5 linked regions of the Mus musculus genome follow. The protein of the gene in region 4 interacts with the protein of the main gene of each other region in a biochemical or structural test. Links are inferred from orthologs where the notes say so. Each region holds a gene or a part of one and is shown on either strand. Other genes may lie near its edges. The genes, in order: Erbb3, Lat, Lcp2, Zap70 and Shc1.

What was found.
Region 1: the proteins of Zap70 (region 4) and Erbb3 form a complex in vitro, tested with the Homo sapiens proteins (2 studies listed by BioGRID and IntAct, with this or other methods). The link is inferred for Mus musculus from reciprocal best matches to the Homo sapiens genes ZAP70 and ERBB3.
Region 2: of the proteins of Zap70 (region 4) and Lat, one has a biochemical effect on the other in vitro, tested with the Homo sapiens proteins (2 studies listed by BioGRID). The link is inferred for Mus musculus from reciprocal best matches to the Homo sapiens genes ZAP70 and LAT.
Region 3: of the proteins of Zap70 (region 4) and Lcp2, one has a biochemical effect on the other in vitro, tested with the Homo sapiens proteins (2 studies listed by BioGRID). The link is inferred for Mus musculus from reciprocal best matches to the Homo sapiens genes ZAP70 and LCP2.
Region 5: of the proteins of Zap70 (region 4) and Shc1, one has a biochemical effect on the other in vitro, tested with the Homo sapiens proteins (2 studies listed by BioGRID, with this or other methods). The link is inferred for Mus musculus from reciprocal best matches to the Homo sapiens genes ZAP70 and SHC1.

Annotation. Positions count from the first base shown.
Region 1 is NC_000076.6:128,569,361-128,572,726, forward strand, and holds part of Erbb3 (receptor tyrosine-protein kinase erbB-3 precursor), read right to left. Parts: intron 3,230-3,366; coding exon 3,074-3,229; intron 2,845-3,073; coding exon 2,769-2,844; intron 2,432-2,768; coding exon 2,285-2,431; intron 2,184-2,284; coding exon 2,086-2,183; intron 1,999-2,085; coding exon 1,810-1,998; intron 1,648-1,809; coding exon 1,576-1,647; intron 995-1,575; coding exon 694-994; intron 535-693; coding exon 8-534; 3' UTR 1-7. UniProt on the Homo sapiens protein: Tyrosine-protein kinase that plays an essential role as cell surface receptor for neuregulins.
Region 2 is NC_000073.6:126,366,431-126,371,170, reverse strand, and holds the start of Lat (linker for activation of T-cells family member 1 precursor), read left to right. Parts: upstream 1-1,920; coding exon 1,921-2,023; intron 2,024-2,201; coding exon 2,202-2,229; intron 2,230-2,334; coding exon 2,335-2,369; intron 2,370-2,588; coding exon 2,589-2,676; intron 2,677-2,807; coding exon 2,808-2,872; intron 2,873-2,955; coding exon 2,956-2,985; intron 2,986-3,064; coding exon 3,065-3,125; exon of another isoform or gene 3,126-3,200; coding exon 3,201-3,295; intron 3,296-4,740. Other genes in the region: Spns1 (protein spinster homolog 1), read left to right, coding at 265-436, 758-852. UniProt on the Homo sapiens protein: Required for TCR (T-cell antigen receptor)- and pre-TCR-mediated signaling, both in mature T-cells and during their development.
Region 3 is NC_000077.6:34,077,822-34,081,881, forward strand, and holds part of Lcp2 (lymphocyte cytosolic protein 2), read left to right. Parts: intron 1-422; coding exon 423-448; intron 449-563; coding exon 564-583; intron 584-686; coding exon 687-794; intron 795-2,368; coding exon 2,369-2,399; intron 2,400-3,898; coding exon 3,899-3,911; intron 3,912-4,060. UniProt on the Homo sapiens protein: Adapter protein primarily involved in signaling pathways within T-cells, as well as other immune cells such as platelets, mast cells, and natural killer (NK) cells.
Region 4 is NC_000067.6:36,778,413-36,781,233, reverse strand, and holds part of Zap70 (tyrosine-protein kinase ZAP-70), read right to left. Parts: coding exon 2,770-2,821; intron 2,688-2,769; coding exon 2,644-2,687; intron 2,484-2,643; coding exon 2,432-2,483; intron 2,251-2,431; exon of another isoform or gene 2,118-2,250; coding exon 1,922-2,117; intron 1,550-1,921; coding exon 1,343-1,549; intron 398-1,342; coding exon 205-397; intron 116-204; coding exon 1-115. UniProt on the Homo sapiens protein: Tyrosine kinase that plays an essential role in regulation of the adaptive immune response. Regulates motility, adhesion and cytokine expression of mature T-cells, as well as thymocyte development.
Region 5 is NC_000069.6:89,420,019-89,424,679, forward strand, and holds the start of Shc1 (SHC-transforming protein 1), read left to right. Parts: upstream 1-1,602; 5' UTR 1,603-1,832; coding exon 1,833-2,327; intron 2,328-2,710; exon of another isoform or gene 2,711-2,802; intron 2,803-2,907; coding exon 2,908-2,978; intron 2,979-3,489; coding exon 3,490-3,553; intron 3,554-3,678; coding exon 3,679-3,798; intron 3,799-4,171; coding exon 4,172-4,225; intron 4,226-4,536; coding exon 4,537-4,588; intron 4,589-4,661. UniProt on the Homo sapiens protein: Signaling adapter that couples activated growth factor receptors to signaling pathways. Participates in a signaling cascade initiated by activated KIT and KITLG/SCF.

The sequences.
Region 1 (3,366 bases), on a different chromosome or scaffold from region 4:
ACCGAGGTCAAATTCTCTGGGCGTTAGCCTTAGGGAAAAGCCTGCTATGCCAGTAATCGGGGTTGTCAAAGGCGGAGTCAGTGGCTTCTAAACTACGCAGAGTTTTGAGGCGGGCATAACGAACATGGGGGGCTTGATGTCCAGGCCCCTGGAAAGCTCGCATTTCCTCATACCCTTGTTCAGCTGCTGGGCAGGCCCCCATAGCTGCATAATCCCCTCCGGAACCGCCCGCACCACGCCTGCGGTTCATGTATTCATAGTCCTCATCTGGAGTCGTGCCAGCAGAGGGCACGATGGCCATGGGATGGAGTGGGCAACTCTGCGTACTGCCCAGAGAAGCACTGAGGTCTGAACCCACATCCATGTACTCATAGCCCAGCTCTTCCAGGGAACCAGGTCTGGGGGGCCGAGCCGGGCTACCCCTCCTCTTCCGGTTCATGTATTCATACTCCTCATCTTCATCTTCCTCTTCGGTACCCAGCACAGAACTGAGACCTACTGACGAAAGGGTGCCTTCCCGGGAAGAGGATGTACCTATGGTTGAGAGAAACTCTTAAGTATATATAGAACTTCATAGAAATAACCAGAAGGAATGGGAGCGAGCGAGTCATCAGAGAAGATAAAAAAAATTAAGGGGAGCTTGGAGAAAAAAAGATTAGAAGATTTGAGGGTAACGCTGGAAGTGACAGGTACCTCTGAGGTGCGTATCTGGCATGACATAACCATTGCCATCCTCTTCCTCTAACCCTGGTGGGGAGAGCGGGGTGACGGGAGTAAGCAGGCTGTGTCGCTGCGAATGGTAGGCACTGTCCCCACGTGGCCGTGGGCTCCGGCTCCGGCTCCGGCTCCTACACATTGATACTCTCTCTTGGAGTTCAGCCTCAGAGCCCGTCACATGGCCCTCTGATGACTCTGACGTTTGACGCCCCCGTGGGATCGGGTGCAGAGAGATGGGACGGGAGAACTGTTCGCGACCCCCCAAAACCGCAGAATCCTACGGAGGAAAAGTCATAGGAAGCAATACAAGGATTATATGGACTGTATAAAAATACAGACTCAGAAGGAGGCACAGTTGCTCGGGGAGGGCCTTCTCTGTTGGCAGGATGCTAACTAAACCTTAAAAATTTGAAACATCTCCATTTTCCTTTTTCTTTTCTTTTCTCTCCTTTTCTTTTTTTTTTTTTTTTTTTTTTAGTATAGGATGGAGTTTATTCAGGGCATGGGGAGGGGAGTTGAGGGAGTAGAGGCAGAGAAAGGCAGAGAGAGAGAGAGAGAGAGAGAGAGAAGAGAAGAGAGGAGAAGAGGAGTGGAGTAGTAGAGGATAGAAAGAGCAGGGAGGGGAATAGAGAGAGAGAGGATAAGGAGCAAGATGCGGGGTTGGAGAGATGGCTCAACAGTTAAGAGCACTGACTGCTCTTCCAAAGGTGCTGAGTTCAAATCCCAGCAACCACATGGTGGCTCACAACCATTTGTAATAAGATCTGATGCCCTCTTCTGGTGTGTCTGAAGACAGCTACAGTAGACTTACATACAATAATAAACCTTTGGGCTGGAGCAAGCGCCAGCACATCTTACCAGACAAGCCTCCCCAAGGTTGCTCTGGTTCATGGGCATGTATCCAGACGAAGGACTTAAAAGACTCTGGCTCTAGAATGGGAAAGGAAAGGAAAGGGCTAAAATGAAGGAAGAAATCTATTCTTAGTGTGGAGGCTGATGAGTGGTGATTCTTCATGCTCACGGGGGTGGGGTGTGTGTGTGTGTGGGGGGTGTCTGCGTAGCAGAATCTTGTGCGGTTAGAAGATATCTTACCCCACGTGGCCGGGTAAGCGTTCCTGTAGGCAAGCTGAGGGCAGAACCCAGTGTGGTCGCCAGGCCCTCCTCTTCTACCTCCACGTCTAGGTCGAGGTCCAGGTCTGGCTCCAGCTCTGCATCCTGCAACTCTTTGGTGCTCAGAGCAGATGGCTCTGCTGCAGGAGGTATTCCAGGCCCACTCGCTCTCTACAGGAGTAGAAATCCATTAAGGTGGGTTCTAGTTCTCTACGTCCTTTCCCTAAATGACTCTGACATCCTCTAGCCCTTACTCACCTTGATGACCAGATACCTTGGTGGGTCCCGGGCCATCCTGGTAAACTCATTGGCCAGTTCTTTAAAGGTTGGGCGAATATTCTCGTCAATCATCCAACCTAGGGAGAGATGTAGGAGGTTGAGCCAGAAGAGAGAACAGAGCCGTGGAAGAGAAAGGAGGGAGTCAGTTAGAAAAGGCTAGGGTCAGAAGACAACTCACACTTGACCATGACCATGTAGACGTCAATGGTGCAGATCTGGGGCTGTGCTAACCGCTCTCCCTTCTCCAGCAGGTCTGGTATTTCAGCCAGTCGTAGCCCTGCGTAGGGCTCTGCCCCGAAGGTCATCAACTCCCAAACGGTTACACCTGATACAGGAAGAAATTAAGTAATAATTATGAAAAATAGATACAGGCACAAAGGGAAGGGAGGGTTGGCCTCCCTTTAATACAAGGATTGCAAGGGCATATAGTTTTTTTGGTTTTGTTTCTTGTTTTTTTTCCGAGACAGGGTTTCTCTGTGTAGTCCTGGCTGTCCTGGAACTCACTTTGTAGACCAGGCTGGCCTCGAACTCAGAAATCCGCCTGCCTCTGCCTCCCAAGTGCTGGGATTAAAGGCGTGCGCCACCACACCTGGCTGGCATATAGTTCTTAAGAGGAGACACAAAAGGGGGACCTGAGCTGGTGATGACAAAGGGGTGCTTACCGTAACTCCAGACATCACTCTGGTGTGTGTATTTCCCAAAGTGGATACTCTCAAGGGCCATCCATTTAATTGGAGTCTGAAGATTAAAGATGAAGGTGCTACCCATTAATTTTCACCTATTTTCTTAAAACTACAAGTTCTCTATCACCCATTCCCCCCTGATCCCGCGAACTTAAATTTTCTGTCATTCTCAGCTTCCTCTCCTTGAATCTCCAGGACTCATTTACTTATCTCAGCTAGAGCCCCTTGACTGCTCTGTATTCCATGCTCACGCCACCCAACCACTCCGGCCCTTGTCACCTCACCTTGGCCTCACTGTGTAGTAACTGCTTGTCATCTGGCGGCAGCAAGTCAGCCACACCAAAATCTGCCACCTGGACTTGACTCGGTGACTTAAGCATCACATTCCGGAGCGCAAGGTCCCTATGCACCATGCTGTGTTCCTCGAGGTAATACATACCCTAGAGGAGGAGGTGGTCTCAGGGTTGGGGGAGTCGGCCACTGAGCAATAGCAGCTGGCCACACCTTGAAGACAGCACTCATGACCTCAAACCCTTAATCCTCCTTCCTCAACCCCGACCTTCCCCAGCTAAGCTGT
Region 2 (4,740 bases), on a different chromosome or scaffold from region 4:
CTATCCTTGGCTGGGATGGAATGGTTTTGGGGACCTGGAACTCCCTACCCTGACTGGTGGCATGAGTCTGGCCAAGATTAGGCAATAGATGCCTATGGCGCATCTCCCCTTTGGTCCTCTGGTGTATAGGAAGGAAGCCATAGGAAGGTTTTGCCCGTTAGGCTGTGGGTCTCACCCTATGACCCAAATATTCCCCTTCCCAGCCTCTGTTTTCTTGGTCAGTGCTCTGCACCCCCCAGGTCTCTGACTCTTTTCTCCCTGCAGATCTCTGACCGCCTCCGACGGAGCTGGCCCCCTTCCTTCCTGTCCGAGTTCCGGGCTCTGCAGTTCTCGCTCATGCTCTGTGCTTTCGTTGGGGCACTGGGTGGTGCGGCCTTCCTGGGCACCGCCATGTTCATTGAAGATGACCGCCGGCGGGCTCAACTCCACGTGCAGGGTGAGTGAGGGTCACTGTAGGTCCACCTTCACAGTACCACCTGCCTGTCTGTCTGTCTCCGCGTATGTACTCTACAGTTCTCCCTCCACTCAGACTAGCCCATCCATTCATGCCACCAGCTGGGGGCAAGAGTCCCAGCATCCCAGGCTCATCCAGCTTAGCTTTGGGTCTGTCTGGAAGTGGATTGGGCTCTGTCTGTGTGCAGTTCTGAGGGCTCTCCATGCTGCCTCATCTGGGCCCCTCTGCCTGTGTCCCCTTGCTGCCTGTGTCCCCTTGCTGGCTCTTATCTTACTGGCCTTGGCTCTGACCCCTTTCTCGCAGGTCTGTTGCATGAGTCTGGGCCCTCAGATGACCGGATTGTAGTACCTCAGCGAGGCCGTTCTACCCGAGTCCCCGTGTCCAGCGTGCTCATCTGAGGAGCCGGTGCTTACCCGGCCACTGATGCATCGCAGCTGGGCCTTGGGCCCACCCAAGACGGTTCCCAGGCAGAAGCCCTCACCAGGCCCAGGTCCAAGAAGGAAGCCCTGGGATATCTCCCAGCTCCCAGACACTACATGGGCAGCCCAGGGAAGAGATGGGAGTCCAGAAACGGGGAAGGGGTGTCCTCTCTACTAGGACAGCCCAAGGGGTTTGGTGCTATTTGTAATGGAATAAAATTTGTAATCAGACTCCTGACTGACTGCTTGTCTCTCTGTGGGTGCCACTGGCCTCAGGGAATATCCATAGTCCCAGGACTTAGCAGGGGCTGTCAGGTCACCCTGTGGGTAAGTCCCTGTCTTCTGAGCTTGGTAATCTAGAAGGAGGGCTGCTCTTTTCTGAGTGAGCTGGTTCAGTATGACTGTGACTCACCGTGGTCCCCTGGAAGTCGCTCTCCCAGTAGTTAAGCCTGGGAGCTGGGGGCCTGTGGTGCCCTCAGTGCCCTCGGTCCACACAGGCCTTGGCAGAGCCTCCTTGCAGTTCTCCCACCCGGGCATGGGGAGGGTACCGCGGGCCTGGTTGGCACGTGTCTCCTTTCCTAGTGGACGGGCTGCCTCATCCTGCAGCCTTAGACCCTTCCTCCACACAGTCCCTCTGCCTCCTCCCCCTTCCCACAACTGGGTGGGGGTGAGTGGGCAGGGGGCAGGCTCAGCCTGCTGAGCAGCCTGATGATTTCCTGCCCTCACCACAGCTTCCTGTCGCACGCGGTGGTGAGCAGGAGAGGCAGGCGGGGAGCAAGAAAGGGGCAGGTACAGCTGGGCACGGGGATCGTGCAGCTGGTAGCTGGGGCACGGGCCCCAGCTCTGGCTCTGGGGCGAGCACCTTTCCAGAGCCAACACTGCTCTCAACTCAGTCCAGCAAGAGAGGGGAGCCATCCAGCCCCGAAAGGATACGGCTGCCTACTGCCGGGCGGATCCCAGGCTGGAGCCCGCTTGGTCCCATACCCCTGCTGCCACTCTGTCTCGAGGGGCTGCAGTGCAGCAGGGCCTGTGGCAGGTGCTCTGCAGATGGAAGCAGACGCCTTGAGCCCGGTGGGGCTGGGCCTCCTGCTGCTGCCCTTCTTGGTCACGCTCCTGGCTGCCCTGTGCGTGCGCTGCCGTGAGTTGCCAGGTAAGTGGGAAGCTTTGCGGAACTGGATGATGGGTGGGCGCTCCATTGGATCCTCATACCCTCCCCAGCCCCTGCACTCTCCACTGTCCCTACCTGGGCCCTGATTGATGGTGGGGGGCCTGAGTTTCTTTGTCCCTGGTGCACCCCGATCCTGACTTGTTGGATTTCTTTCCTCCAGTCTCCTATGACAGCACTTCCACAGAGAGGTGAGTGGGAAGCCCGTGTCCCTGTGTGTCTTCCCTTGGTTCCACTCAAGGGTTTGGGGCTGGGGCCCTCTTGGCCCTGTACCCAAGCTGTCTCTTTCCTGCCAGTTTGTACCCAAGAAGCATCCTCATCAAGCCACCTCGTGAGTTCAGTGTCTCTGGCCCTCCTCGAGGGTTTTTAAGAGTGTGCGTTTGTCCTTGTTCACCTTTAGCTGTCTGAAGGGCTGTTCCCTGGCTTGGGATGGGGAAAGTGGGAGCCCCCATGTCTGTCTAGGGCATGTTATTTTGGGGTCCATTTGTCCTTCGAGGCCTTGATGGGGGGTGTCTGGAGCCATCCCTCAAGCTTCATTCTGTGTCCTCAGAAATAACCGTCCCCCGAACACCTGCTGTTTCCTACCCTCTAGTCACTTCCTTCCCACCCCTGAGGCAGCCAGACCTGCTCCCCATCCCGTGAGTATCCCCCAACTCCGTCCCTTGGGTCTACTGTGCCTCTCCACCTTCTAGGTTGGGGAGGCGCTTTTTCCTGGTTGTCTTGCTCCCAGAGTCCTACCTAGACGTAATCTCTGACCTTTGGCTTCCAGGAGATCCCCACAGCCCCTTGGGGGTTCCCATCGGATGCCATCTTCCCAGCAGAATTCAGATGATGGTAAGGGTGTAGGGCACAGGAGGGCTTTGGGGAGGATGTACAACCTGAGCTGATCCAGTCTTCTTCTCCCTCTCTCTTTGAAGCCAACAGTGTGGCAAGCTACGAGAACCAGGGTGGGTCTGGGGTCTGGGGTAGTGGGTGGGGTGGGGAGGCTGGACCTGTCCAGGTCGTGTTAACTCTCCTTTCTCACAGAGCCAGCCTGTAAGAATGTGGATGCAGATGAGGATGAAGACGACTATCCCAACGGCTACCTGTGAGTGGGTAGAGGGGAGGTGACCGTGGAAGTTGTGTGCCCTTTATCAACTTCTCGTTCCTTCCTTTCTTCCAGAGTGGTGCTGCCTGACAGTAGTCCTGCTGCCGTCCCTGTTGTCTCCTCTGCTCCTGTGCCTAGCAACCCTGACCTTGGAGACAGTGCCTTCTCTGGTGAGTCAGGCTTTCTGTCTACCTCCCTCTGCCATGTGCTGCCAGCTCTCCACTCTTGCCTCCCTCTCACCTCCGTGACGATTGCCGCCCTTCCATTTCCTCCTGTAGACGTTGGGCTTCCTGCTCCTCATCACTTCCGACTGTCTTGTTTTTCCTTCCACCTTTGCTCCTTCGTCTCTGTTGTCTAAGAAATTTCCTGACTCTTTTTGAACCCTGCCATTGAAATTTCATTTCTCGGCTGGGTGTGAGGGCCTACGATCCCAGCATCAGGAGGCAGTGGCAGGAGGGTTGAATTTGAGGCTAGCCTGGGCTACATAGTGATACCCTCTCTTCGAAAACCAAAACAGCACGACGATCAACAAAAAGAAAACAAAAGAATTTATTTCTCTTATCTGAAAGTCCCCCTCCCCTTTTTTGGCGTCTCGGTTCTTTTTGTATAGTACACTGTTGTTTCTTGGAAGCAATATCATCTAATGTATCTATAAGAACTTTGATTACATAGCCGGGTGGTGGTGGCGCACGCCTTTAATTCCAGCACTCGGGAGGCAGAGGCAGGCGGATTTCTGAGTTCAAGGCCAGCCTGGTCTACAGAGTGAGTTCCAGGACAGCCAGGACTACACAGAGAAACCCTGTCTCGAAAAAACAAAACAAAACAAATTTTGATTACAGATTGTTTCTCTCTGTGTCTCTATCCCTCTCTGGTTCTGCCCGTCTCTCTGTATCTCTGCCCGTCTCTCTGTATCTCTGCCCGTCTCTCTGTATCTCTGCCCGTCTCTCTGTATCTCTGCCCGTCTCTCTGTATCTCTGCCCGTCTCTCTGTATCTATCTCTGCCCGTCTCTCTGTATCTCTGCCCGTCTCTCTGTATCTCTGCCCGTCTCTCTGTATCTCTGCCTGTCTCTCTCACACACACTCACTGAAGATTTATTCTGCGTACCACATGGTCGTTGTTTCTCTTGGGCTGCTTTTCTCTGCTTTGGTCTTTCTCCTTCCTTGAGCTTTTCTCAAGTTCTGGTGATCTTCAGTTTTCTATCCTCTTATCTCTGTATAGCATGAGTATCCCTTACCTGAAACACTTCAATACAGATTTGGGAATATTTATAAACATATAATAAATTCTCTTGGGGATGAAACTCAAGATAAAACATGTAATTAATTTATTCATGTTTTATACAAACCATATATGTAATATATACACAGTCTGAAGATAGGTTTTTGTTTTGTCTTAGTTTTATTGGCATAGAGCGTCATTGTATAGTCCTGGCTGTCCTGGAACTTGATATCTAGACCAGGTAGACTCAAACTCAAATTAAACGTGTAGGTTACCATGCTCGGTCTTTAAGGTAGTTCTATGCAAATTTTAATTAATCTTTTGTATGAAATAGAAGTTTCATGAAATTTTCCATTTGTGGTATCGCACCAGTATGAAAAGGTTTTGGATTTCGGA
Region 3 (4,060 bases), on a different chromosome or scaffold from region 4:
CCAAGACAATCTCCAAAAGCCCTTGTATGGAAGTCTTTACATAATATCAAGTGTACCACAGGATTTAGGGCAAAATTTCACCTTCATTACACACTGGTTTACTTCAAAATTCAAACTAGGCCAGACAGCAGATGCTTAAGCCAATGAGAAAGACATAGAATCTCAAGAAGATATTCACCCATTTGATGCTCAGCCAAGCCGCATGTTGAAAAGAAGCTCAGATCCCACAATCCTATTAGCATGTGCACAGCTGTGTGAGTTTGGCAAGCCAGGTGTTCCTCAAAAGACCTTTCAGATCTGAAGCCCCTGCTTAAAGTCAGACTTCCCCTAGAGACACAGACACGGTTTTCATCAGAATCTGTTTTTCAGCCCTAACCTCATGCCTGTTCCAAATTTAATGTTCTGTTCAACCTTGTTTACAGGAAAGAAACCACCATTTTCTGATAAGGTAGGCTGCTTTTCTGGTTTGTTTATGATTTTAGTCTTTGTTTGTTTTGCTTTTATCTTGTCCTGACTCTTTGGAAAGTGTCTGATCCTCACGTGTCTTCCTTGTTGTCTTGCAGCCCTCAGCCCCATTGGGGAGGTAAGTGTCTGTCATACTGTACCAAGTCCAGAATTCTGCTGCAGATCTCTGCCCAATGAAAGTGGCTTTTATATATATATATCTCCTCTCTCTTCCCACTCAGGGAACATTTACCCAAGATACAAAAGCCTCCTTTGCCACCAGCCATGGACAGACACGAAAGAAATGAAAGACTCGGACCCGTGACAACGAGGAAGCCACCAGTTCCAAGGTGACTGTCCTGTGCTGCCTGAGTCGGGCCTTTGAACTCCAATACTTGAGAGGTTGAGGGCTCCTTTCCTTGCTGGTTGGATGAAAGCTACTGAGGTCTGTCAAGAGAATGGGAATGTAGCTGAGGAGGGGGCGAGTAGCAGCACTTAATGGGGAGGGCTGTGTGGTTGCTGTCGGAGTCCTTGTCTGAACCAGACTTGGTTTTGTTGGACTTCCTGCCTTGTCAGACTGAAGCCTGAACAGCTCATAGGAACTGCACCTGCAGCTTTATTTTGTAAGGGAGCAGGGGTGTGGGGTGGGGGTGGGGGTGCGCTGGTTCTAGGCCTGCATTAGCTGCTTTCTTACTGCTCAACCATTTTTACAACGACAGGAGACGGAGCTCAGTTCTAGCAGCTTTACCTGTGCTATAAAATCATGTATGGTCTATTTACCAAACGGCACAAGTGCACTTGGGTTCTGGGCCAGCCCTGCTACTTGGAGGGGAGCAGTGAGTTTCATTATCTCCTCTGTCTATAAAGGTTCATAACCATCGCCCTGGTTTGGCTGTTGTGAGGATTCAGTCAAGACTAAGGGCCACAGTGTGCCAAGAAAATCCCCAGTCTTTGACTTTCATAGCATTTTAATGGATTATTTAACAAAATCAGAGCACATAAAAAACAATTTAATGGCCAAAATACCAAAATTTTCAATAAAACAGGGCAAGAACTGATGGACGACATAAGAAACATCTGACATTAGCTACTCAACAAATCATTCTTCCTCCCTCCCTCCCTCCTTCCCTCCCCCTTCTTCTCTCCCTCCCTCTATCCACCCATCCATCCTTGCCTCCCTCCATCCCTCTCCTTTCCTCCCTCCCTTCCTCCCTTCTTCTCTCCCTCCCTCTATCCACCCACCCATCCTTGCCTCCCTCCCTCTCTCCTTTCTTTTTTCCCTATCCCTCCCTATCCCTCCCTCCCTCCCTCCTTCCCTCCCTCCCTCCATCTCTTCCTCCTATCACTCCCCTCCTTCCCTCCTTCTCTCCCTCCCCTCTTTACCTCTCTCCCAGGAAGTACAGATGCCTCTCCCAACGCTTAGACAGCTATTGTCAAAGCTGTTGGACTGGCCCATCTGTGCCAATGACACCAAGGCCCTATTGGCAAAGCCCGGAGCAGGGACCTTTGCCAACTGTTTTCTTAATACTTGAAGGGCAAGCCCTGTGGTGGCTGGTTTGAAACCTCAGCAAAGAAGAATATTACTGAAAATGTTTTTATTTGCTTGGAAAAACATCTACTCAGTGAAATTTAATAGCTCCTAAAAGCTGACTAAACATATATACGTGTATAATTGTGTAATTATTTGCTATAGTAGCGCTATAGAACAAAGGTTTGCCTAGCTCAGCTTGCAAAGATAACAGGGCATCCAGTGGCCACATTTCCCTTCTCTCCCAACCCCAGCATTTCTGCTGGCACTGGCAACTTCCCCTTTGGCCACGGCTCAGTAGGTTTTATTTCTCCTTATGCGATTTACTGAAATTATATTCTGGGGCTGGCTCTTTGAAACTCTTGATGCTCACATCTCTGCTCTAATTCATTTCAGGCATGGAAGGGGACCAGACAGAAGAGAGAATGTAAGTGTGAAATGTCATTTAATAAATGCTTGGCACAGGGACAGCCAGTGTAGGCTCTGGGGAGGTGGGACTGCATCTGCCTTGCCCTTGTCTGAAGTTAGGTAATGAGAGCAAGACCTACAAAGAGTATCTTAAATGCCAGCCTCTGCATCTTGTTACTTAGAGTTCATCAAGCTGAATTGCCTAGCCCCTGGCTCTCTGAGAGGTCCCAGGGTGGCTGGCTTCTTGCAGCCTCATCCCCAAGGGTAATTTGCAAGAAGAGTGAGGATCAGGAATAGAGGGAAGGGTCGGGAAGATGCTATGATTTTAGTGGCCCTGCACGACATCACTCTTTCTCTTTTTGTGTGAGCACTGTAACGGTCCTTGAATGTTGCAGAGAACATGGACTAGGGTTGCTCCACTTTTGTTCCAGTCCCAGGGATGTCTAAGGAAGATGGGAGGGGATGGCTATGAGCATTCCCAAACCATCAGGGCAGCAACTTGCTACAGAGACATAGTGACAGAGTGAAAGACAGACACTGAGGCTGACATCACATCCCTGAGGCACTGAGTCTCTGAGAGATTAATTCTCCTGAGAATCTAGGGTTGTGCCTTCCTCAGCCAGGGGGGACATGGCCTCCATGCAGGAGAGCAGTGACACTTTGTTTATTTGTGTGGCCCTCTGCTGACTTTCAGTATTTCAGGATGAGAGATTGTGATTGGTGTAGAACTGATGGTAGAAAGCTTTATTAAGCAGTACTTAACTAATGCCAGGGCACAGTAACTAACTTTATCCTTATAAAGGTACCAATTCATGACCACTGGGCTGCTCTAACTAACCAGTTCATGGTCCTTTGATTTTTTCTAGTCACTGGCAGGGCTTCTGTGTCTCTTTGAACCTCATTTCTTATTAGAGAAAGGGGGTGGCCTTTCTCTTGTCTGTCTCACAAAGTGACTCTGCAGTTGAAATAGTAAGGAATAAAATAGTAGTTACACCTTGTAAACTTCGCTATGAATAAATGAGGGACAGATATTGCAAAGGAGAGGCAGGAAAAGGGCTGGAGCTTTGGACCAGGCAGGTGTGAGGGTGTGTGAAGCCTTTCCTGTCTCCATGGTAAATGCGCTGAAGCACGAGTATCATTTCTATTGCAAATCGTGTTCCAGTCTTAGATCAACTGAAGAGAATTGACCGAAATATCAGTAACCTCATGAGGCTTGTAAATGCTGTTATATCCAAGTCCTTTAGGAGCCTCAGAATCAGTCCAGCTGAGCATTTGAGAGGAATCTCCGAATCGAATGTCTTTGGATGATTATGGACATTAGAAAAACCATAAACCACTTAGCACATTCTAACTAGATTATGAAGAGGGGAAGCTCTAGAAAATTCTCCACAACCTATTTATTATGAAAAACTATAACTGTTAAAGAAAGAGCCAGGCACAGTATTTGACTGAGAAGTGTCTTCTTAGAAATTGGATTGCAACACTAAGTTAATCTATTTCGATGTTTTTTCTTTGCAGGATGAAGATGATGGTATGTCTCCAGATCTTTATCACAAGCCATTCTCCTTCTTAAAACACCAATTCTCTCACTTTTCTGACCCTCTGTTTAAATAGAATCATTGAGTATGGAACACCACATGTCAACTAACATAAACAGACATAAACCTCATGGCTTTAGTA
Region 4 (2,821 bases):
AGGCCTCCCACATGGTGACCCCATAGCTCCAGACGTCACTGCGGCTGGAGAACTTCCGAAAGTTGATGCACTCTGGCGCGTACCACTTCAGAGGCCACTTCCCTGCAGACCGGGCCTGAGACGGGGAGGAACTGCTAGGACCGGAGCTTGGGAACCCTCCCCCACCAGCCACCTCCACCTGGGCACCACTGGGGTGGCACTCACTGTGTAATAGCTGTCGTCAGCACCCAGGGCTTTGGACAGGCCAAAGTCGCTGATCTTGGCATAGTGCCGATTGACCAGTAGAACATTGCGGGCTGCCAGGTCGCGGTGCACAAAGTTTTTCTCCTCCAAATACTTCATGCCCATGGCCACCTGGTGCAGCAGTTCAGCCACATTGCTCACAGGGATCTCCTCCCTGGGGTGGAGGGGATGGTGGAGTCAGTCTCCCTTCCCATGGGGCATGGGTGTAGAAAACCTGGGCATCAGTGATGTGGCTGGCATGTAGACCATCCTTGTTGGCAGTGCCAGATGCTAAGAGCTTTATTACATGTTCAATGTTTACAGGAACCCTGGGCACAGTTCCTGCTATCGCCACCATAGTGCACGTGGGGAAACAGAGTCAGGAGCTCTTCTTTATAGCATGAGTGTGAGCGTCAGAGTACACATAGGGCAGGCATGTCCAGGAAGAAGTAAGGGCAGGTGGTGTGCACTGTGTCTGTCTGTCTGTGTGTGTCTCTCTGTATGTGTGTGTGTCTGTTTGTGTCTCTGTGTCTGTCTGTCTGTCTCTCTGTGTGTGTCTCTGTGTGTCTGTCCATTTCTCTCTGTCTCTGTGTATGTCTGTGTCTGTCTGTCTGTCTGTGTCTTTATTTCTCTGTGTGTGTGTGTGTGTCTGTGTCTGTCTGTGTCTATCTCTCTGTGTGTCTGTCTCTGTGTCTATGTCTCTGTGTGTCTCTGTATGTCTATCCATTTCTCTCTGTCTCTGTGTGTGTGTCTCTGTGTCTGTCTCTGTCTGTGTCTATCTGTCTGTCTGTATCTTTATTTCTGTGTGTATGTCTTTGTATGTCTTGTCTGTCTCTCTGTGTCTGTCTCTGTGTGCCTGTCTATCTGTCTCTCTGCCTCTGTGTATACCTATCTGTCTCTCTGTGTATCTGTGTGTCTCTCTGTTTCTCTTTCTCTGTGTGTCTCTGTGTGTGCGTCTGTCTGTGTCTCTGTGCGTGTGTCTGTCTGCCTCTCTGTCTGCCTCTCTCTCTCTCTCTCTCCCTCTCTCTCTCTCTCTCTCTTTGTGTGTGTTCCTCTATTTCTCCCCCCACCCCCACCCCCATCCCTACTCCCCCACCCCGTGAGTGTCCCCCAGGCTCACTTCTTTCCCAGCAGGAACTTGTGCAGGGGCCCGCCTCCCGCCATCTCCATGACCAGCATGAGTGCTTCTGCCTGGCACACGCCGATGAGCCGCACGATGTAGGGGTTGTCGAGCTGGTGCATGATCTGGGCCTCTCGCATCATCTCATCTTTGTCGGCCTTCTCTGTGCCCTGCTTCAGCACCTTGATGGCCACGTCAATCTGCTTCCTGCCCAGGTGCGAGGCCACAGACAGCTTGGGTGGGAACTGGGCCAACACAGGCCACACCCGGCTCTCTTGCTCCACCACCCCCTACCCTCCACTCCCAACCCCCACCCCACCCACCCCAACCCCCGTCAACCGTGCACCCTCTGGTTCACTGCCAAGCCATCCGTTCCCAGAGATACCTGAACTGTCTCAGTCAGAGACACCTTCCCAGGGAGTGCCTGCGTGGCCTGTCATGGCCAGTCAACAAGGGGTTCCCCTCTGCATAACTTCATAAGCCCTCCTAGTGGGGGCCAGTGTCTCCCTCTCAGGGGTCCATGGCTCCTACAACTCCTCTGCTCTGATACCCACGCTGTGGCAGAAGGCCCCGCCATACTTGCGCATGCGATAGACTCCCTGGCGCACGGAGCCAAAGTTGCCACAGCCAAGCTCGATGTCCGCCACGAGGAGATTCTCTCGCTTCAGGAAGAGCTTCTTGTCTTTGAGTTCCTCAGGGTCGCTGTAGGGACTCTCGTACACACTTGTGTCCATGGGCATCGGCCGGGGCTTGTCTGTCGATGACGCTAAGCGTGCTGGGTATACATACGGGTGTCATGCACTCCCGGGTTAGAGAGGAATGGGGGAGGGGGAAGGGCACGTAAAGGACACGGGAAGCTCAGACACACCAGACACACGGCCATAAGCCATGATGTACCCACCCTCACGTGGCATACACTAGGATATACAGGCCCATGGGCAGGCGTGATGACTAAGCATTGCTGTGCATGGGACAGACCCCTGGCAATGGCTCTGGCTTTGTCAACTCTTGCTAAGTCCCACAGGCCAGCCAGGGACCCTGTTTTCGGGTGGGCATAAGCGCATGCTCAGCTCTGCCTCTGCGGCTCACCTGGTTCAGGGGTGTATCCGTCCGAGTTCAGGGTGTCCACTCGTCTCTGAGGCTAAAGGTCACAGGGTCAACAGCAGTCAGGGAGACTCAGCCCTCTTATGAGACCCACGCCTGCTGAGGACACCCCAGGGACAGCTCCCTGCATGGCCATCTCCTCCATCCCACCCATCCTCCCAGTGTCACGTCTCAACGCTGAGGTGCCACGGGCTCACCTGAGTGAATGTGGATGGGTGGGCTGGGAGGGTGGGTGCAGCAACTGTTAGGGAGCAAAGGGAACAATAAGTATGGGAGACAGACCCCCTACATGCCTGCCTGCCTCCTGTCTCTGCCCGCCTCACCTGCCGCGCTGGCGCTGCTGTTGGGACAGACCTCCTTCAAGCGGTAAATTAG
Region 5 (4,661 bases), on a different chromosome or scaffold from region 4:
ACAGAATGACAGAATTTCTTTTCAGGAAGAGATGTGGTATTCAGTAACAGCTTTCCTGGGATGGGGACTAAGCACAGGGGAGAGAATGAAGGGTGGTATTTAAACTGCTTTAAGTGCTGCTGAAGAGGTCTGAAGGTAGACACTTTGAGCAACCTCCGCAGCCACAGCAGCGGTTAGGCAAGTGGAGGCAAACCCCGGTGATTGGTTCTCTGTAAGTTCCAGGCCATCCTGGTCAGCCTGGTCTACAAAGCAAGTTCCAGGGCAGTCAGTGTTGTTACATAGACAAACCCTATCTTGAAAAAACAAATAAGCAAAAAGTATCTTTTATTTCTTGTATTTGGTTTTTTTTTTTTTTTTTTTTTGGTTTTCGAGACAGGGTTTCTCTGTATAGCCCTGGCTGTCCTGGAACTCACTTTGTAGACCAGGCTGGCCTCGAACTCAGAAATCCACCTGCCTCTGCTGGGATTAAAAGGGTGCACCACCACACCCAGCTACTTTTTTTTTTTTTTTTTTAAGGGAATAAAGCGATAGTTTATTCTGGAGCTATTTTGATTGGTCACTTTCTTTAAGTTCCTGAATGGCCTTAAGCAGAGCTGTGGCAGGAAACTGTGGGCAAAGAAATATGGGTTTGGTATTATTATGCACTTATGGCCAGACTCCAACTTCTAATATCCCTTTCTCCTTCCTGTCTTTATTAACACAGATTTGTTTATGACCCTATTATCCCTTTGTGGCTTGTAGGCACCAGTTCTGTTTCTTTCCCCTACCTCCAAGGCCAACTCCTCCACTAGCCTGAGGTACACTGTCAGGTGGTTTACTGCCTGTAAGGAGTAACAATATATCTGTAGGTCCGAGGGGTGGCTGCATGTCTCTGTACCCTCTGGGGAAGCCCTACTCCCACCCCCCAAGTCTGTTGGTCCTTGGTGACTTGTAGAAACAGGCTTGCTCTAGCTCTTGTCTGGTAGCCCCCTGATGTACCACCAATAAATTGGCCTTTATTCCCATTTTAGCTTGTCTTTCCTCTTGGCTTTGCACTATATCCACTGGGACTTACTTTCTCTCCCTGGTTCTCTACTGTGGTCCACAGCTGTTGTGGTGGAGGATGCTAATGGCCCAGGTTCCCTGGAGCTACCACCTCACTCACTGTATGGTGGGGATGGGAGTGGTCTGGGCTGTCTGGGCTAGGGGGCTAGTCACGTCTTCAGCCAGGACTGGAAAGGAAATGCTAAACTCTGGGGGACATCTCCCCCCTTCCCCTCCCCGCCCAGCAGCTTCTGTTTCCTCTCTATCCCTTCCTGTCTTCCTGCTCTCTTTGGCTTGCCCACGTCGGTTTGGATTGGTCCAGAGTTTCTCTTAACTCCTTCCTTTCTTTTTTCTCTTTTGCTTATTTTTCCATCTTTTTTTCGCGCCGGGCACCTCCTCCTTCCCAGACAGTTGTTTGTATTGGGCTGGGAGAGTGGCCTGGCTTGCACAAATTGTGTGGGGAGGTGTCTCAGCCCCTCTGAGCCTGTGAGTCAGCACTGTCCTGGGGATTGGTCTCTCTCCTTAGTTCCCCGCCTCTGGGGAGGAGCCAGTAAGCTCTGGGTCCAGCCTGTACTCCTCAGCCAGTAGAGGTTTCCTAGCTGGGCTGTGCAAGGATGTGCTCTCAAACTGTCTAGGTCTGAGTTGGGAGAGCAGAGGTCACTTGTCCTTCGCCTCCCCAGGTCATCTGTTATCACCGGGCTGCCGAGGTCAGACTAGGCTAAGGGCCTGGGGATGCCCCCTGCCTGGCCCCCTTGCCTGAATTGGCAGGGGGGCCGGGCTGGGCAGCAGCCCCTCTTCTCACCCCAGCCATGGATCTTCTACCCCCCAAGCCGAAGTACAACCCACTTCGGAATGAGTCTCTGTCATCGCTGGAGGAGGGGGCTTCGGGGTCTACCCCTCCGGAGGAGCTACCTTCCCCATCAGCTTCATCCCTGGGACCCATTCTGCCTCCTCTGCCGGGGGACGATAGTCCGACTACCCTGTGTTCCTTCTTTCCCCGGATGAGCAACCTGAAGCTGGCCAATCCTGCTGGGGGGCGCCTGGGGCCTAAAGGGGAGCCAGGAAAGGCTGCTGAAGATGGGGAAGGGAGTGCAGGGGCAGCCCTTCGGGACTCAGGCCTCTTGCCCCTCCTCCAGGACATGAACAAGCTGAGTGGAGGCGGCGGGCGCAGGACTCGGGTAGAAGGGGGCCAGCTGGGGGGCGAGGAGTGGACCAGACACGGGAGCTTTGTCAATAAGCCCACACGAGGCTGGCTGCATCCCAACGACAAAGTCATGGGACCTGGGGTTTCCTACTTGGTTCGGGTGAGTGCATACCCCCCTCCCACTCCCTCCCGTCCAGTTCCTCTGCTCACTCCAGATTTGCCAGGGACTCCCTGCTCTTCCCCCAGCAACATCTGTGCCATTCTCTCAGTTCTTAGACCTGGTGCATTCCTTCTTCAGGTCTCTGCCCTTAATTTAGCCTGTGAATCTTCTGCCTTTCCTCCTTTGGTCCCAACCCCCCCCCCCACCCCCCCAGTTCACACAGTGCCCAAGCACATCTGAGGCTTTCTGTAAAAGTTGAATGAAAATGACTTCTTGATTATTCCCTCTAGACTCCTCCCTTTTCCAGAGATGTCACTCCATCCCACTCAATGTTTGCTACTCCTCTCGCAGTCCCCCCATGGTGCACGAAGTTCCTCTTTTGTGGTCTTTCTTCCCTTTTTCCCCTTTGCCATACACCTATGAAGTGGAAGCCCCAGGCAGTAGGAAGGCTACTTCAATCTACTTTCCTTAGGAAGTAAGGACTATATAAGGCAAAGCCCTAGAACCTTCTGCAAAGGGCTTGCAAGTGTGGGGTGGGGGATGGGGTCAGCTGATCCATTCTTCCCTCCTTCCCCTACAGTACATGGGCTGTGTGGAGGTCTTACAGTCAATGCGAGCCCTTGACTTCAATACCCGGACTCAGGTCACCAGGTTAGTGGGAAGGCGGGTATATTGCTGTAGTCTTAAGATTACTGAAGTTACAGAAGTCTCAGTAAGGGGGAGGAGGAAGTTGGGCATTTGATGGTGTTTCTGATGGTGACTTCTCATGGGCGGTGAGAGAATTGAAAGTCACAGAAGTAAGTCTGACTAAAAAGAGCCAGCTCTGGTCTGGAGCACACCTTCCCTTTCTATCCAGCCTTGGAGATTGCGGGAAGATGAGCTAGAAAAGGCAGGGGTAGGAGGTTGCTGATGCTTTGGGGAAGGGAATGGAACATTCGGTGGCTGGGAAGAGGTGGGGCTATAGCCATTGAAGCCCTAACCCAATCAGCCAGGAAGCGGCCCCTCGGTGTCATCAAATATTAAAGGCCCTTAATTCAATCCACCACGACAAAGAGCCTGGAGTGCTCTGGGAGTCTGGCCTGGTCTTCCCTTCCCCCAGCTCTGTGGCGGCCCCAGCCAGGGGGGCAGCCCATGGTGGGTCTGAGTACTCCTGTTTCTCCAGGGAGGCCATCAGTTTGGTGTGTGAAGCTGTGCCTGGTGCCAAAGGGGCGACAAGGAGGAGAAAGGTATATGTGGTGGTTGGGGCTGGGTATTGGAGGCAGGGGGAAGGCACTTCAGGACATAGCGGATGGGACAGGTGTTTCCTCAGGCTGGGAAAGCTCAGATTCTGAGACTCTGGGCCCTTTCTTAGCCTTGTAGCCGCCCACTCAGCTCCATCCTGGGGAGGAGTAACCTGAAGTTTGCTGGAATGCCAATCACTCTCACTGTGTCTACCAGCAGCCTTAACCTCATGGCAGCCGACTGCAAACAGGTAGGTAGGGCTGCTGAAAGGGACCAGAGATAGTTATGGGAGCATCAAATGGGAATCAGAGACCAAAAGCTCGGAGCTCTCAGGAACAACTGGACAGTAGAGGAGGAAGAAATTAGAAAGGTTAAGGATAGTGACACCCTTATCCCAGCACTCAGGAGGCCGAGGCAGGTGAATGCCTTTGAGTTCCAGTCAGGGCTACACAGTGAGACCTTGCACCTCACCCCACCAAAAGAAGAAAGAAATCAGGAGAACACTGGGTAAAAGACCAAGAGAATGAGCCTGGGGCTCCAAGGTTCTGCACTGGGGTGGGCCACAAGCCCTGAGGCTGCCTGACATTTACCATCCCCTCCTTCTCCATCCCCACCCTCATCAGATCATTGCCAACCATCACATGCAATCTATCTCTTTCGCGTCCGGTGGGGATCCGGTGAGTTGGGGACCAGAGGAAAGACTGGGGTGGGGAAGAAGAGACATGGGGCTAGAAAGATGCTTGCTAGAGGCTGAGTGTGGTGGCACACACTGATCCCAGCACTCACGGGACAGGTGACTCTCTTGAGTTCCAGGACAGCCAGGGCCATGCAGAGAAATCCTTGAAAAACCAAAAGAGGGAGGGAGAGAGAAGATACTGGCTAAAGAAGTAGGGTGCAAGGGTTGTGAAATGTCTGAAAGGGACAGAGTCTTAGTGGATCAGGAGTTGTAAACTCTAGCTAACTGGTCTCCTGAATCTACCCTCTCCAGGACACAGCTGAGTATGTTGCCTATGTTGCCAAAGACCCTGTGAATCAGAGAGGTGAGGCTTGCGGGCAGCACTGGGTGGGGCCAGTTATCTGAAAAGCAGTTACACTTGATAGGGTTCCCTTGCT